Linked DNA regions of Drosophila melanogaster. The protein of the gene in region 1 interacts with the protein of each later gene in a biochemical or structural test. Each region holds a gene or a part of one and is shown in the gene's direction. Other genes may lie near its edges.

Region 1 (9,924 bases):
GGTTTTGGGATTTGGGATGCACAATAATTTGAACAATTGCTACTTGAATGCAATGTTTATGTTCAATTATCGTGGCAGCACCACTGACCCAAGCGGTGGACTCCGTTCGGTTCGTTGCAGTTCATTGATTGACATTTTTATTATGCATATTCGCTGGTCTGTTATCCTTGCTACGCTCCCTCCCTTCCTTCCTTCCTTCCTTCCGTCCACCAACGCTGTTCATAACAATAAATTTCCAATTTGTCTTTAGCATTGGCCATAATGACGTCCACAAAAGAGACCTTAATCCAATAGATAAATTTCGAGCATTCCCTGGCTTCTTGGCCAGGACTCTTTGCTCCTTTTATGCGAAGGGAGACACAACTCCCACGATTCCTTCGACTGTTGTGGACAGTCTCATTACTTACTCCATTATTATTGGCCTTCATTCTCAATCAATTTTTCAATTCCACTCCCATTGCCATTTGCAATTGGCCCGTCAAGTTTGTATTTCGCCCCTTTGGTATCTTCAACGCCCGTCACTTCTGGCATTTCCATTGTTATTTGTTTGTTTGCAAATTTGTTCAAGAAGTTGTCGTTATATTCTATTTCGCAAGCTTTTCCTCTGCTCAAAATCAAAATGATTAAAACAACAGTTTGATACGAATTTTAATTCCCCTTTTTGCTGCGGAGTCAGTTAAGTGAGTCGCTTTCAGGACTCAGGGCATCATCCAGATCGCACGATCCCATTTGCATCTGCCTTCTCAGAAGCTGCTTGAAAGACGCGCCCCTGTCGGATGATTAGTGCTAAGATCCTTGGGCAGGATGGAAAAATGGGAAAACATGCGGTGGGAAAAACACACATCGCGAAACATTTGGCGCAACTTGCGGAAGACAAGTGCGGCTGCAACAAAAAGTCGCGAAACGAAACTCTGGGAAGCGGAAAAAGGACACCTTGCTGTGCGGCGGGAAGCGCAAGTGGCGGGCGGAATTTCCTGATTCGCGATGCCATGAGGCACTCGCATATGTTGAGCACATGTTTTGGGGGAAATTCCCGGGCGACGGGCCAGGAATCAACGTCCTGTCCTGCGTGGGAAAAGCCCACGTCCTACCCACGCCCACTCGGTTACCTGAATTCGAGCTCGAGTGTTTTGGGTGGCTGAGATTGCTTTGGTACGGTGGCTGACCTTGCCAGTGCCAGTGGGTCCATGTCCGTGGAGTGCTGGCAATGCGTGTCTGGCACAATGAAAACGCAGCAATGGAGGATGGAGGAACTCGACCTGAGGGAACGTGGGAAAAAAGGATTTACGATGAAGATGAGCTGAGAAACTCCGAGCTGATGACGTGCCTGGTCATGGGCATGTAGTGCAGCAACTGTGTTTTCGTATCTGCTTACCTGTTGCACGCACATGTTAAAAAGTCATCATAAATCTCAGTGGACGAGGACGAGGACTCTGAATCTGTTTCGCCTCTCTTTTGCGCCCAGTGAAAATATTTTCACTTTTCATGCGGGAGTTTTCATGCCGCCGATGAGGATGACTGGCCAGGATGGGTATATCTATCTATTAGATCTGTGTAAATTCCCAGCTTATCATGCAAAACACGTAACCACGTCGTCTCGATCCTTTCGGCCAGGAAGCCGAAAGCTACTCCTTTTGTGCAACATGCCGTGGTGACCTTTCCCGCGAACTCGTGACTGCAACGGCTCAGGCTGCCTAATAATTTGTATAAATATTTATTTTTGCTACCGATTTCTATCTGCTCGCTCAACGCCTCCGAGGGAGCTCTCGCTGGAAAAGGTGTGAAATTCGAAACCCCTGACAATGATGATCTTCTACGGGGAATCGGGGAATCAAGGGGAATCAGGACGGGGCTCGGTTTCGAATTCGATTCCATGACATGTTCTGCATTGCTGAGCCGATATACTTTATTTGCATTTTTGGCCACTTGCAGTGGCACGTTCCCTTAAAAACAACAGAATTATAGAAGCAATGTTTTAGCTATTGAACGGTTACGTATCAATAGAGGAATTTTAAAACTATTTCTAAGCAAGCAAATAGTTTTGCTAGTTTTTTTAGTTTAGAAACTAATTTACATTACCATTGTGAGCAATTGTGACATTGAAGTTATTTCTGGAAACTATTCGAAAGTGCGGAGCTAAAGAAAAAGCGACTGCTACTACCGATTTCATCATCTTTAATTGTGTTAACAATTTGTTTGACTTTCTTGTCTTTGTTTAAAGGCATCGACGGGAAACTCAGCAAAACAATGGACTTGGTACCTTTACAAATACAACTAAAATGAGCTTAAACCTCTTCTAGTACGTTAATATATATTACTAGTAATAATATAAAATGAGATAAAAGTCGGTTTTGCTGAAAGGCAATTAAACGCAAAGGCCTTGCTAGAATTTCGCAACATTGCAGAGATTAGAGCTCAGATCTGCGTAGTAGGCCATGACAAAGCGCAGATCGCTGGAGATCGGCGAGAAGACAGAAGACAGAAGACGACGCATTTGTTAGTCAGTGGCATTGGCAAGAAGTGCTGGCCCGTCTGGATGAGTCATTCACCGTTATGTGGCAAGGCGGCAGATGGGGGAAACCAGTGAATAACCAGCGACGAAAAACCTTCGAACCGCTCGCCTCGAGCTGCAGCAGTCGAGTGACTGCAGTGCGCACACCCCACCCACCCACACAAGACAAGATCCGGATGTGCCATGCAACACTTATACGGCCGAACCAAAACACAACATGTTCGAAGTGGCTCTCTTATACTGCACCGCACAGCGAGCACTTATAAAGGCCGGCTGCCTTGCCTTTCGAAAGTCAGTTGCGTGCGAGCCGCGAGCGCGAGATCATCAAACTGAGAAAGTCGGACTGCGACTCGAAACTGAAATTGAAACTGAAAGAAAGAAATATTCAAATTGTCGTGTGTGTGGGTGCAAGCAGAGAATATATATCTCAAGAATATCTGAATACAAGCTCCTGGATTTACGAGCAGCAAAACTAAGTTACCAATGTGCGAGCCGAAAAAAGCGAGTGAAAAACGTGCGAATATGCCAGCTAACTAAAGACATTTGGATTACAAGAAACCCACGCATTTTGGATTATAAACATTGCGACAGGCAGAAAAACCTAAGGTAAGCCCCCGACCCTAATGAGAAAATGCGCGAGAGCTAAAAGATACAAGATACAAAATATGAGTTGCGAGATACAAGCTACAAGCCACAAGGGATATGCAAGAAATGTGCAAATTGCAATAGAAATTGTCACAGCGGCAAAACAAAAGCATTTCAACTTAGAGGCGTAATGAGTTTGTTCAACCTGTGTGCCCGCTCGCTCTATCTCTCTCGCTCGCACCCTTTGCCCGTTTTTTTTTTTAGGGGTGCGAGTGCAGCAGAAAGCATAAAAAATGCAAATTACACCGCGGGCCATGTGAAACTATGTTTCTGACCAAACAGACAAAAAAAAAAAATGAGAAGAAAGAAATGATGAAAAGAAGGCCGAATGAATTAATTCATTATGTCTTAAAGCCCGCTTTCGACATCTCTTCTTCATGCTCGCATGGACATTCGGTGCAGTCTGCAATTAAAGTTAATAAATAAATTAATTAATAAGCGGCCGACTGCGATTTCGTGCCTTATTGAAATTGCTAGGCAACCGAAATGAAGAACATGAAAAGAGCGCCAGCCAAGGCACGGCACCCACTCACTTTTTCGAGCAGTGTAGGTAGCAGACACAAAAGCAACAACGGTGCGTGTGTGCAATGCGACTTGAGGCGAAAGAGAGAGAGGGGGCATATGCGAACACAATGAGTGTGAGTGGGAGAAACGCGTTTTTTTAAGTTTATTTTTTTTTTTTTTGTTGAGCAAGGCAATGAATTTGTTATTTTTTTTCCTTGTTGCGACGAACAGTTGTTTGGGGAATTTAAGAAGATTTGTGCTGTGACTGTAATTGAATCGAATGCGATTAACATAATTTGTGAGGAAATGTCTCTGGGCAATGAATTACAATAATGCCTGGCCATTAGCTGATTAGTTGGCCATTAGCGAAGATGATTTCAGGGCTGAAAGTGCAGTTTATGTAACGGCGTAGATGCTACACAAGCTACATCTTCAATTTTGTCCAGCTAATTTCGGGCCACAAAAGCAAACTTGGCCCATCAAATTTTATGGTTAGCTCACACAAGCTGACCCAGTTTTCCCTTCGGGGAAAAGCAGCCAGGAAGTTGCAGGCATCGGAATCCGTGTCCCAGGCCATAAACAAAATTCTTACCCACAAAGAAGCAGGCTTTTCCTTCGCTTTTCTTTTATTTCTGCTGCATTTCCCCACACACTCTGGTTTTTCTGAAGTGTTGTAATTGCTCTTGTTTTGTGCTGCGTTTTATGAATAACTTATGCACTTAATTGATTTTTGTTTATTGTTCGGTTCAAGTTAATTAATTACACACTTTATGCGCTCCTCTCTTTCTCCAGAATTTCTTCAACGGCGCCAGCATGGAGAACTTAACGCAGAATGTAAACGAAACCAAGGTGGATTTGGGCCAGGAGAAGGAGAAGGAGGCGTCGCAGGAGGAGGAGCATGCCACCGCCGCCAAGGAGACCATCATTGACATTCCCGCCGCGTGCTCCAGTTCCTCCAACTCCTCGTCGTACGACACCGATTGCAGCACGGCGAGCAGCACCTGCTGCACCCGCCAAGGCGAGCACATCTACATGCAACGCGAGGCCATCCCGGCCACGCCACTTCCGGAGTCGGAGGATATCGGCCTGCTGAAGTACGTCCACCGCCAGCACTGGCCCTGGTTCATCCTAGTGATCTCCATCATTGAGGTAAGCACACACACAGCGAACTCAGTAACTCAACCCATTAAATCAAAGAAGCCGCAAACTTTCATCCCAAGAGCGATAAAAATGATATAGGGGGCGGAAAGCGGCGACGAAGGGCGGAAGTTTTCCGAGAGTTTTCCTCGCTTTTCGTGTTTCGTTTTCTGCGTCTGACTCGCTGGCGCCCCCGAAAATCGATTGTAAACAAGTTGAACAACAAAACAGCCGAAGGAAAAAAAGCGAACAGAAAAGTTTATGAAACCAGACCGTTCGTAGTTTTTTCTTTTTTTTATTTTTTAAGGGCAGACCAAAAATTGTCATGTGAAAAACAGTGGAAGATGAGAAGATGGAAATGATAGTTAGTTTGATAGCGAAATTGGTAACTTGGAACATTGAGTTTAAAATAAACAATACACTTTTACATGACCCCTTACATTCGTATTGGAAATAATTTGCTTCGTATAGAAACTAGCACGAATATCAAATAAACAGGGCGGCCCACGGGGCGTATGAGTTTAGTGAGTTTGAAGCCCTGCCAAGTTGGCAGGACTCGCCCCTAAGCATTCTCATAAGACTTTATTTGGAACGTGGTCGCGTGCCAGACAGCAACAACATAAATCAGAGCGAGAGCCCAGAACTAACCCCCAATTCTTTGCGTCTCTGTCCATTTTAGATTGCCATCTTCGCCTACGACCGCTACACAATGCCCGCCCAGAATTTCGGGCTACCCGTTCCGATTCCGTCGGATTCGGTGCTGGTCTATCGGCCGGACCGGCGTCTGCAGGTGTGGCGCTTCTTTAGCTACATGTTCCTGCACGCCAACTGGTTCCACCTGGGCTTCAATATCGTCATCCAGCTGTTTTTTGGCATTCCCCTGGAGGTGATGCACGGCACGGCCAGGATCGGCGTGATCTACATGGCGGGCGTTTTTGCCGGATCCCTGGGCACCAGTGTCGTCGACTCGGAGGTCTTCCTGGTGGGCGCCAGCGGTGGCGTCTATGCCCTGTTGGCCGCACATCTGGCCAACATTACACTGAACTATGCGCACATGAAGAGCGCATCCACGCAACTCGGATCCGTTGTCATCTTTGGTGAGTTTCCCCACACCTTATGACTAGAATCTATAGAACCTAATCTATCCTACCTAAACACGAATTTGTCACATCTTTTTCTTCTATGTTTAACTTAACTAACTTGAATCCCTTCTGTTCTTCCATTTGCAGTCTCCTGCGATCTGGGCTATGCTCTCTACACCCAATACTTCGATGGAAGCGCCTTCGCCAAGGGTCCCCAGGTGTCGTACATTGCCCACCTGACGGGAGCCCTGGCAGGACTAACGATCGGCTTTCTGGTGCTAAAGAACTTCGGTCACCGAGAGTACGAGCAGCTCATCTGGTGGCTAGCGTTGGGCGTCTACTGTGCCTTCACCGTCTTCGCCATCGTTTTCAACCTGATCAACACGGTGACCGCTCAGCTGATGGAGGAGCAGGGTGAGGTGATTACCCAGCATCTGTTGCACGACCTGGGAGTGTCCTAAGTTTGAGGTTCGGAGTCGTCAGCATGCTCGCAGGGATTCGGAATCTGCTTGAGCTTCAGGAGAGATCGAGAGACAGAGAGTTGGTGGAAAAGAAAAGTTCACTCAACGATTTAGTTCAAAACTAATTCGATATTCGTTTGGCTTTTGCTTTTCGTTAGCATTATCTCGTTATCGTTACCGTTTGCAGTTAAACGTTTCAGTTCCGAAACATAGTACACAAACTCAAAAAAAAAAAAAACAAATCAAGAGAAATACACTGGACAAAAAGAAAGTGCGAGGAGTGAGGAGAACATAAACCGAAGCCGAAACGTGTAAACAAATGTTGTGATAGAACCAAAGACTGAATTTATTTCGCGTGTAAAAACCAAGTAAAAATCAAGAGGAAAATCAAAGAGGAGAAACAGAACTAATCGCCTCTCGCTATGATTTAAATGATTTATCCATGTTTTCAATTAATGGTTTGTCTGTTTTCTTAAATTATGTATTTATTGGCCGCAATTACTACGAATGAATCGAATCGAAGCATCAGCAAACTGTATCAAATTGTTTATACATCCATAAGCATAATGTGCTCCGAATTGTAGGATTTAGTGTTATAATTTATATATATTTAGGTATAACTAGCCCTCCTAACAAATTGTTTCAAATTGTAAATACTATTAAGTCGCACACTAGTCAAACAACAACAACAGCAACAGCAAAAACAACAAAAAAAATATGGAAAACCACAGCAAAGAACCATTCAATTCAGATCAATTAAGCAAATCGAGTTAAATTAAATTAAATTATACTAAAGTCACTTAATGCGTTACAAAATCGAGCATCGTAATCCCCTACACACACACACACACACACACACTCGAAAGTATTACTAATTATATTTATTTATGGTAGGGCAGCGAGGGTTTATTAATTCGTCAATTGAGCGAACTATTTATTTATTTATTTATTTAATAATTTAGTGAAATTCACACAAACAAGCACGAAAAAACAACAACAACACAAGAGAGAGAAGAAACAAACCAATTCAACTGTAAAAATATCCAATTGAAAAATACACACGAAAAGCCAAAGAAAATAAAAAATCAAAACATTTCAAGAATACAACAGTAATAACAAAATACAAGCAAAAGCGTTTTCATTTCCCATTTTGTATTTTTATTTTACTTTCAGTTTTTGGCTGTCGGCTCGCTTGGTTTTAATTCCCACAATTTAAGGGCAATAAATAATCGAGCCAGCAGATTATCAAGATACTTGACATATTGACCGATACACATATATATATACATATATATATATATATATCGTACGCAAATAGAGAAATATTCAAAGTAATCGCCGAATGAAAACAGCTAATCTGGCATAAAGGCCAGCAAAGCGTAAGCCAAAATAGAATCCTTTTGGGCCACAAAACCCCAAGATAGCATACTCGATTTTCCAAAATAATGGATCCACACTCCACCCGATGAAAAAAAAAAAACAAAACAAAAAAATAAAATAAAACAAACTAGGAAACGGAAATGTTCAGCACGAGACAAGGGACAGAAGAAATGCAAATAGCAAAAAATTATAGATAAATAAATAAGGAGAGAAAAATTGAACAAAAATAAATGTCTAAATTATATATGAATTTCTCGTTTTCTTCACAAATAACTCAGGGCGAGTTGAGCTTGTGTATGTATGTATCCTCTGCTGGATGAGTTTTTTGGGGGGCAGCCCAATCAATATTTGCTCCACATAAATATGGCAATTCAAAGCGAAAGGTTGCAACTACAACTAAGACTCGAAGAAAATCCTTAATTAATACCCACTCCGCAGAAGACTTGTGTCAACGAATTTTCCCACTCGAATGTTGCCACTGCCACCAATCGATAGTTGCCCCAATATGAAATATGAAGGCGCAGCATACGCATTTTGTAATAATTCATATTGTCTGTGATTCCACATCTCATGCGAGTATTATATTCAATCCAACTGGATTAGCAGGACTAAGTCCATGAATTTCCAAATCGGCATTCAACTCGAAGGACTTGAAGCGAACCAAAAACATTTGCCAGCTGTTTGCGTTTAGTCGACTAATGCATACCTATTAGCAATAAGCACTTAATAGAAAACTAAAGCAGAAACATGCTGATCGAGTACAACTAATCGAAATTGTTGAGGATATTCTCAATTAGTCCTGTACTTCCCACCTAATTTAAGAAATACAAACCTACTCTTTTACTAAAAAAGTACAGGGTATAATCCCCCAATATTTCACTTATTAATGATGCATAATCAAGGAAGCGTTGGCAAATCAAAGATGCTTGATTACATCGGAAAATGAATAAAACACTTGGATGAAACAGTAAAATGTACGTAAGTAATACAATTCACATAGACTAAGAACATCTTTTTTGTGTTCCGCTAACTGCAATTAGTAATTGTGCATAATCAGAGCTGAATGATTGCACCTGTCAATTAATTTCCGCTTAAATTATACAATTACGGGCGATGGGCGATACAAGAGATACAGCAACACAATAAAGCAGATGTGCCTCCAAAATGGGGCACAAGCTTAGTGCCTTCGGATTTTGGGGGACGAAGTAGACACTCACCGCCACTTGCAACTCCCAAATCCCAACGCCCGTGCAAGAAGACAGACAAGCCAACCTCATCCAATCCAATCCATTCCAATCCAATCCAATCCAATCCCATCCGAAACGCACCCGGAGAGTCTAGGCAGTTTGAGGAGCAAGATTTATGGTAGACAGGAGCTGCCGCCTCGTGGACATCAAATTGAAATTCAGGCACAATGTCAACAGCAATCGAGGACGAGGTCAGACAGGCTCAGACGACGGCGGCAACTGCGAGTGCGAGTGCCAGTGCCAGTGCCAGTGCGAGTTGGAGTCGGAATCAAGAGCTGGCTCTGCGGAGCCGAAAAATCCACATAAATAACGCGGGCATCCAACTGACCCCCTCTCAGCCCGTTGGCATCTCGTCCAGCTCGTTTCTGCGAATGGCAGGTGCAACTCAATCAACGCTCCTCGCCTCGCCGCCCTTCGCGGTATTTTGCCACAACGTTGCATGTCATCTGTTTGGGGCTCGGTCGCTGTAGCTGTGGACAGAAGCTGCGGCTTCGACTGGGAGCCACCTGCCCAAAAGTTGACTTTGAACGTTTTTGTTTACATTTGGCGGAAAGGTGAAGTGGCGCAGCGCAAAGCTGCCACGGCAACGAATGGAATGGAGTCAGCATCAGAGCCAGAGTCACAGTCACATCCAGAATCAGAATCAGAATCCGAAACGGATCCAGAACTCAACTGAGGAAGCTGGTAGCAAGTTTCGAGTGGGTATCACAGATCAACGATCTGCAGATCGAACAGAAAGACCTCCGACGGGAACCTCCAAAGGGTTCAATGTTCCGCAGAGAACTCCGAAGGGAAGCGATGACCTGAAAGAGGTGCTCCAATCGTTATGTTCAACTTGAACTCAAGTGGGGAAAACCAGAGCAATATTTAAACTTAATCCAATGTTTATTTTTGCATCATTCGGAAAACTGAAGCTGGCATTCGTAATACAGACAAACCATAATTTAGTTCAACTT
Region 2 (7,021 bases), on another chromosome or scaffold:
AGTACCGGCGCGACATGATTGTGTGGAGCGACGAGGTGCGGGCCCAGGACTACGGCTACTTCTGCCGCGTGGCCATGGAGGAGGCGCTGAGTCGCCAGCAGACGCCCTACATTCTGGTCAGCGATGTGCGGCGCAAGAACGACATCAGGTGGTTCCGGGAGACTTACGGGCCGGAACGAGTCATCACCTTGCGTCTAACATCCCGTCCAGAAACGCGGTCTGCACGGGGATGGACCTTTACCGCAGGAATAGACGATGTTCCCTCCGAGTGCGATCTGGATGATCTGGCCGACGGCTTCGACGTGGTGTTGGCCAACGACGAGGAACTCGACCAGGAGGCCATCGACATTCTGCTGGATAGGCTGCAGCTGCAGTATCGATAGAGCTTGGACCTCTCGGCTCACCATGCTTTGAACAAATGTATTTTTGATATATCACGTATTCCGGTCACAAATAGCGTAGTTAATGCAATACACTAGACAAGAATGAAGTTACGTACCTAATAGTAAATACTCTTGGTAACGAAATAGAGCTTGTGTGGCGGTTTTACTAACTTGCAACGTTTAAGACTTAATAGATTCAATGGATATACAAACTATATGTCGCTGATTATCGGTAATAGGTTACTTCAGGAATAAATAGCCCGGTTTCCAAATGTTAGAATAATACTCATGAGCAAACTGCATCCATCAATTTATGTGCACAATGTACTGGCAAGCAAACTAATAAAATGATTTATTAAAAGATGAGTAATAAAAGTATGTGTCGTGAGAAAAGACTATGATTTGGTGGGTTTTGATGGACATAAGGCAATAGTAGCTACTAAGCTGTGTTAGTAAACGGGTCCGCTGAATCCCTCTGTGCCAGAGATTATCCGCAGTTGATCGTTGAAGCTCTGCGCGGGCGGAATCTGATTCTTCTTAGAATCCTTTTCCATTGAACGGGATCGCAGATGCGGCTTATTCTTAACGCAACTGAGTGGAGTTCGCTTTTGTGCGGACAGGGGGGTACTGTTTGTCTTGGGCGTAATGGATCCTCCGGTCACCGGGGACCCCTCCTCTTGGTCAACATAGATCTTTGGCTTGTTGGCTCTGGCGGGCTTGCGCGGTGGCACACGACGCTTGTGACCCAAACGCACTCGCTCCAAATGTTTGTTCGACGGCACTTCTGGTAGCTGCTCCTCGCCAGCGACAAAGGAGGCCATGCTGCTGCCAGTGCTGAGATTCAGGGTCAGTGTTTCCAGGATGTGCTCCAGCATCTGGGCCTCGCGTGCCTCCTCCTCCTCGTCGTCGCAGAAGATGATGGGTGTGCGATCGACGCCCAGGCTGGGCGATCGGGGATCACCATGGGGCTGCTGTTCTGGCGGGGGCGTGGCCATTTTCACCTGGCCCTGCTCCAGATTCGGCTCCTGATACGGCAGCAGCTGTTGCTCGCAAGGCAAGGTTTCTTCCTGATCATAGGGCAGTGAAACAATCTCCAGGGAAATATTGTTGTGTGCAGCAGACGGCGGTGTGCCGAAGCTATCGCAGCTCTCCTCTAAATCCACTTGGGGCGGTGATGCAGGCACTGCTCTCTGTGCTGTACCCACCCTGGTGTCCACGAAGAGATCGGCGAATGTGTCATCCATATTAAGCGAACGAACCTCATCGAGGACCAGTGGAGTGCGATTCAGCTGAGGAGAGCGAGGATCGTTCAGGGAGAAGCCCTTGAGCAAACGTTTTCGCAGCATGGAGAAGGCATTTTCACTGGTGGTCACATGCTGCTCCTCCTCCTCAACGCGAGGTTTTGACGCCTGCAAGAACTACAACGCAGCCATCATTACTAGGGTTAGTAATATCAAAAAATACCTAATGCCTATAAACTCACGGTTAAAGGCGTGCGGCAGCCATTTGGTGATCGAGGATCGAGCAAAGCGTTGTTTTGCTCTCGATTCGGCGTCGTCATTTCCATTTGTTCTCGCTTTTCGCTGGCCAGGCGCATTTTGTTTAGTGTCGGCGTATCCGGCAGATATTCACCTTCCATTTTTGTTGCCTTTGCTCCCATTTTAATCAAATAATCTGACTTATTTTGCGACTTCTCACTAAATGTTGCGGGGTAAAATAAAATCGTTGCCGCGCATTTGTTTTGAAATGGCGTCGTGTGGAGTTGCCGGATCAGGAAATGCCAACTGGTAACAGTATTGTTAACGTCAGTCTAGCTATTTTCAAGCCAATTCTAGCAGTGATTACAAATGGATTTTATCACTAGTTCTTTCATTATTACTAATAACTAACTAATCGTTACAAATATAAATAGAAATTAAACAACGTTTGGGATATTTAGAACTTAAGTCTGTAATGTTTAGGTGGATTCTTCTTGTTTTACTCCTCTCAAATAAATTTATGAATTGATTTTTATTTATAGTACATAAGAAAATGTAAAATTCAGTAAACAAATAAACTAATATTAAAGTTATCAGATATTTTTTTTAATTTCGCTTTACAGCACTGATTTTTATGCTGCCTCGCGATAGTGTCATCTCCCTCCAGCTAAAGTCTGGCAACACTTGTTCATTTAAGACGCGACACAACGAATTGTACTCTTTCAGTTTTTCAAAAAGAAAATGGCATGAAAACAGGCCAAAAAAGTGCGACAAACGAAGAGCTAAATCCCAAAGTAAGTGGTAAAGTAAGTGATAAACATCCAAATGAAAGCAACCCAAATGCATACATAAATGCGCGAGTGTGTGTGCTAAATTATAACAGTAGTGACTGTGTACCTTCACGGAAAAAGGGAAATGAAGACAGGAAACTGGGTTTTTTTACTCCAGATGACTATTTTTATTGAATTTACGCAGTTGCTGTACTAAATAGGCGAGTGTTTTTGTGTATGTGTGTGTGGGCGCCGCAAGCAGCAGTAAATTCTCCTGTGTGTATATGTGTTTTTTTTTTCTATGGCCGTCTCCTTTTTACACACACTAGCGCACAATACAGCTGCGCCTTGTTTTTTGCCGACATTTTTTCTGCTTAGTTTTATTTATTTTATTTCAATTAGGCAGACAAATTATTTTGCTCGCTTTGTGGAGCCATCAATGTGGGTTAGTAAGCTAAAGTGCTGCGTAAAATTGCGCTATTGTTTTATTTGCCAATTGTAGCGCAAAAAGTAAGCAAATTGTATACACACAAACGCCAGAGCGCATGTCGTGCAGACTTTCTCTCTTGCTCCAAATTGCGAGTGTATGCATCTGCGTTCGTGTGCGTGTGAGTACTGAAAACAACCGAATTTCATTCATTGCTCATTTCCGAGAAAAACTACACGCTACACTCGTCGCCATCTGCAATTGCACCTCTGTGTGCGTAAGTCACTGTATCACAAGTACATTATATGAACTATGTATATAGGAGCCGCTGCAGTTGTGCAACATGTTAATTGATTCCAGGGGCTGCTGGGCGTGGCAGGTGCAAAAGCCCCTTCCACCTGGCTTCTATTTACAGAAACTTCTTCCCACTTCCAGAGTTCAACATTCTTGCTCTTCCCGTCGCTTGACCGCGTTTTTCAAACATTCCACGAGCGGTCTTAGCACACTCACACCGGCACGCTATGTGTGTATACATACGTATGTACGTATATTGATTTCAATCAACTTTGAAGCGCGCTCTGGCCTTCTCCTTCGCTCATTCGGCGGTGTGCTATGCTCTGCCTGTCTCTCTCGTGCTCATCTGTCAATTGAGCACCACGTCCGTTTGTCGGCTCATCAGCAATTTACACAGACACACACTTCACCGCGCTGCATCCGTGTGGGTAAATTCCATTTCCTGTTTATAATATTGCGGCGTCTTGTCTGTCTGTCTGTCTGGCGTACAGCGGAGACGCAAACCAGCGTCCCTTTCGCCTTTCGTTCCGCTCATCTCGCTGCACAATGGATCGATCCTAAATAAGCATCTTTTAAAAAGTATTCAAAGTTTGTAAATCGTAACGCATAGCAAATATATTGTTATCGTCATAGTTTGTCATGGTTATAGTTTTGTTAGCTTATTTTTGTTATTCTAAACATTTTAAATTAATACTACATCTTTTTGCAAATCGGATATCCGTCTACTTTCGCTCTTATCCCACGTACATATCTCCCACTTACGATCATCCGCGAGTTTCGGTTCCGTAGCACGTTACCTTACGCATCGCAACCACTGTGCCGTTGGCATTGGAACGCTGACCGCTTTGCGGCTGGGAACGATGGGGAATCGGAACATCCGAATGCGACGCGCTCCGCTCTTATTCGAATTCCCAGCCTGATCCGGCTGTCACTGCTCTTGTTGTTGCGGCAGCGGTGAGTTGAGTAGTACAGTACGTGCCACTTCCTTTACATTCAGAAAAATAAAAATTGCTCACACACACTCATGCATGTATACGCCTAAAGCATACATAAACAGACGTTCCGGACAGACAGACAAACATTGAGTGGAGCGTTGGGAGGGGAGCGGTTGCTTGGCGTCTGCGCCGTGTGTTGTTGCTTTTATGCTGCCCCTACTTATTGTTCTTGTACAGTTGCAAAGCCACTCACATGCGTGTGTGTGTGTGTGTGTGGAGCCAAAACAGTGAAAACGAGTTTGATGTCTGGCTAGATATGGCAACTCTGTCGGCGAGTGCACATCCCCCCAACCCCAAGCCCCAAGCACCCGCTTATTAGAAGAGAAATACCGCAGAGCGTTGTTGTTGATTTTACGTAAGAAGGCCGTCGAACTCAGCATAGAAAATGGTGAGCGAAAGAAAGAGCGGCCGCGAGATAGATGAAATATGGGGGCCCACGACCAGAACCACAGCCAGAGAGAGTGTGCATGCAAATAGGTGCGAGTGTGTGCGTCTAATGATTACCGTTACTATTTGCATGTTGTCTAGTCAGACGTCTCGCGACCCAGACTGTGCGACCCACCAGGCAATTGGCGAAAAATTCTTCGTCGTGACCTTTCATCGTCATCGTTTCAACCGGACATCCAAGCTATATGCATATGTATGTATGTATGTGTGCGTGACAGTAATGTTGTTTATTGATTTTATTAGCATTGCCTTCGAATTGGCTTTCCGAATGAGCATACAAATATATACGACAATGACGGTAATGGCGGTAAAAACGTTAGCAAATTGCAAGAATGCACTGAAAAAAATTCATACAGTGGGGCAATTAAAAGTACATTAATGTCTCTAGGGCTCTAGGAACTCTGCTGGTTCGTAACATTTAGATTGCAGATATGAACTAACTAATATCGGCCAAATTACGCGAAAGAAAACCAATTACAAAGCGGTCTGGAGGAATCCTTCGCAAAGCATTGCTAGTGCTGTGACTGCAGCTGTACACTTGCCACTCAGTTGCGTGCATTTCTGCATTTCTGCCGGCTGTGGTTCAACGTCCTAAGCCGCACACAACAAGTGCAACAATTGTAACATCAACAAAGCAACAGAACACCGCAAAAGGGGCAGAAAAGCGGTGTGGCAAAGAAGCACAACTTGATGGGGGAATCGGATTGGGAATGGGAATGCACAAATGCAGAAGCGAAGCGACGAAGATGGCAAACGGAATGAGGGCAGGTCCTAGGGCAATCCATTAACATTTTGCCCATCGCCCATCCCCCATCATCATCGTCATCGTCATCGTCGTCATCTTCTTGGTATTATTGTACAGTTGAACCTGTAGCACTGAGTCCCGTCCCGCTGGGCTGTGAACTAAGCCGATTGATTGTCCAAATCTCACCAGAATCGAATTGCCATCCGGGTGACTCTTGGTTTCTTTCTTTTCCTGCCTTTTTCTACTTTTCTCCCGCTTTTGGATGCATTCCGACATAACCCAGAAAGCGTGTGCCAGGTTGTTGCTGTTGTGTCGCTTGTGACGTCAATTGGCTGTGGAATGGTGTCTGCGGCCCACATTGCGGACCGACTGCCCACCGGAAACGGGTAGTTGTGCCGCTTTCATACATGCAGTACATGTACATAGGTCGAATCCGCCTTATTAGAGGTGGAGAAACATCGATGATTCCTCGAAAAACATCGATGTTTGTGATTTTTTGAAAAAATCGACGACATCGACGTTGGCATTTCAGTAAAGGAATTCCAAAATCTCATTTACCTGTGAAAACCGCGCCCCAAATGTTTTAGATCGCGTATGGATTTTCCCAGAATATATACATAAAATAAATATATGTAATTTTATAACATAAAGTTACCTCTTGGGAGCTCTCGAAGCTGCAGCACACCTTTTTACCATATTTTTGAGTGAATGTGCAGTTATTGGAGAAACCCTCTTCCAGCCCTGATACGCGAATCTCCAGCAAGTTGCTCCCATTTCAAGGGGCGTTGAATCGCGAGAATCTGGAAAGTCAAAATAGCAATATTTATGGCAACGACATCGGTCGGAGCTTTATTTTTGGCGCGCTTCTCGAGCGGCCAGAAGAAATTTCCCGAGGAATGGAATGTTGTTTACTTGCGCGCCTGCGCATCGCATCCGCATCCTCAACCTTCGGCCAGTTCCATGAAATCTGCAGTGGGGCCGAACTCGTCTGGGTTTCATCCTGTTCGTCCTGTTTGTCCGGCTACCTGCCCCGCCCCTGCGCACCGCCACGCCCTCCGCTCTCGAGCGCATTTTTCCTCTTTTTTTTTGTGCTTTTGCACCGCCGCTCTGCGTCGCTTCTTGTTTGTGTGCCTTTTGCTCCGCCAAGCTTAAAAGTGGCGGCGTCGGCGACGTCGTGTCAATAACATGTTGATCCTACATCGTGCGAAATCTTCTGGCAACACCAAAACAAAAACCAAAACAAGAGAGAGCCCTTTTTACGAAGCGTAACTACTCAGATATACCCTTTAGTCCAATAGGTAATATCATTTGTTTGCAATGACAGCTATAGGTGAGTGATTCCTATTGAATTTTGTATTGTGTGGCTTGACATTAATGGAATAATATTAATTTAAGATTTAAACGAGTAAAGTAGCTTCTGAGGCAATTTATTTGAGTAATTATGCAAAGTGTATTTTGGAAAAATTCTTTGCCTAAGAGCCC

Evidence for each region. The genes of interacting proteins can lie anywhere in the genome.
Region 2: of the proteins of rho (region 1) and spi, one has a biochemical effect on the other in vitro, tested with the Drosophila melanogaster proteins (7 studies listed by BioGRID).

Annotation. Positions count from the first base shown.
Region 1 is NT_037436.4:1,461,013-1,470,936, forward strand, and holds rho (rhomboid), read left to right. Parts: upstream 1-2,798; 5' UTR 2,799-3,118; intron 3,119-4,453; 5' UTR 4,454-4,474; coding exon 4,475-4,810; intron 4,811-5,477; coding exon 5,478-5,895; intron 5,896-6,027; coding exon 6,028-6,341; 3' UTR 6,342-7,932; downstream 7,933-9,924.
Region 2 is NT_033779.5:19,572,820-19,579,840, reverse strand, and holds the start of spi (spitz), read left to right. Parts: upstream 1-2,525; 5' UTR 2,526-2,655; intron 2,656-4,253; exon of another isoform or gene 4,254-4,306; intron 4,307-7,021. Other genes in the region: Pmvk (phosphomevalonate kinase), read left to right, coding at 1-383; msb1l, read right to left, coding at 833-1,801, 1,867-2,043. UniProt on the Drosophila melanogaster protein: Ligand for the EGF receptor (Gurken). Involved in a number of unrelated developmental choices, for example, dorsal-ventral axis formation, glial migration, sensory organ determination, and muscle development. It is required for photoreceptor determination.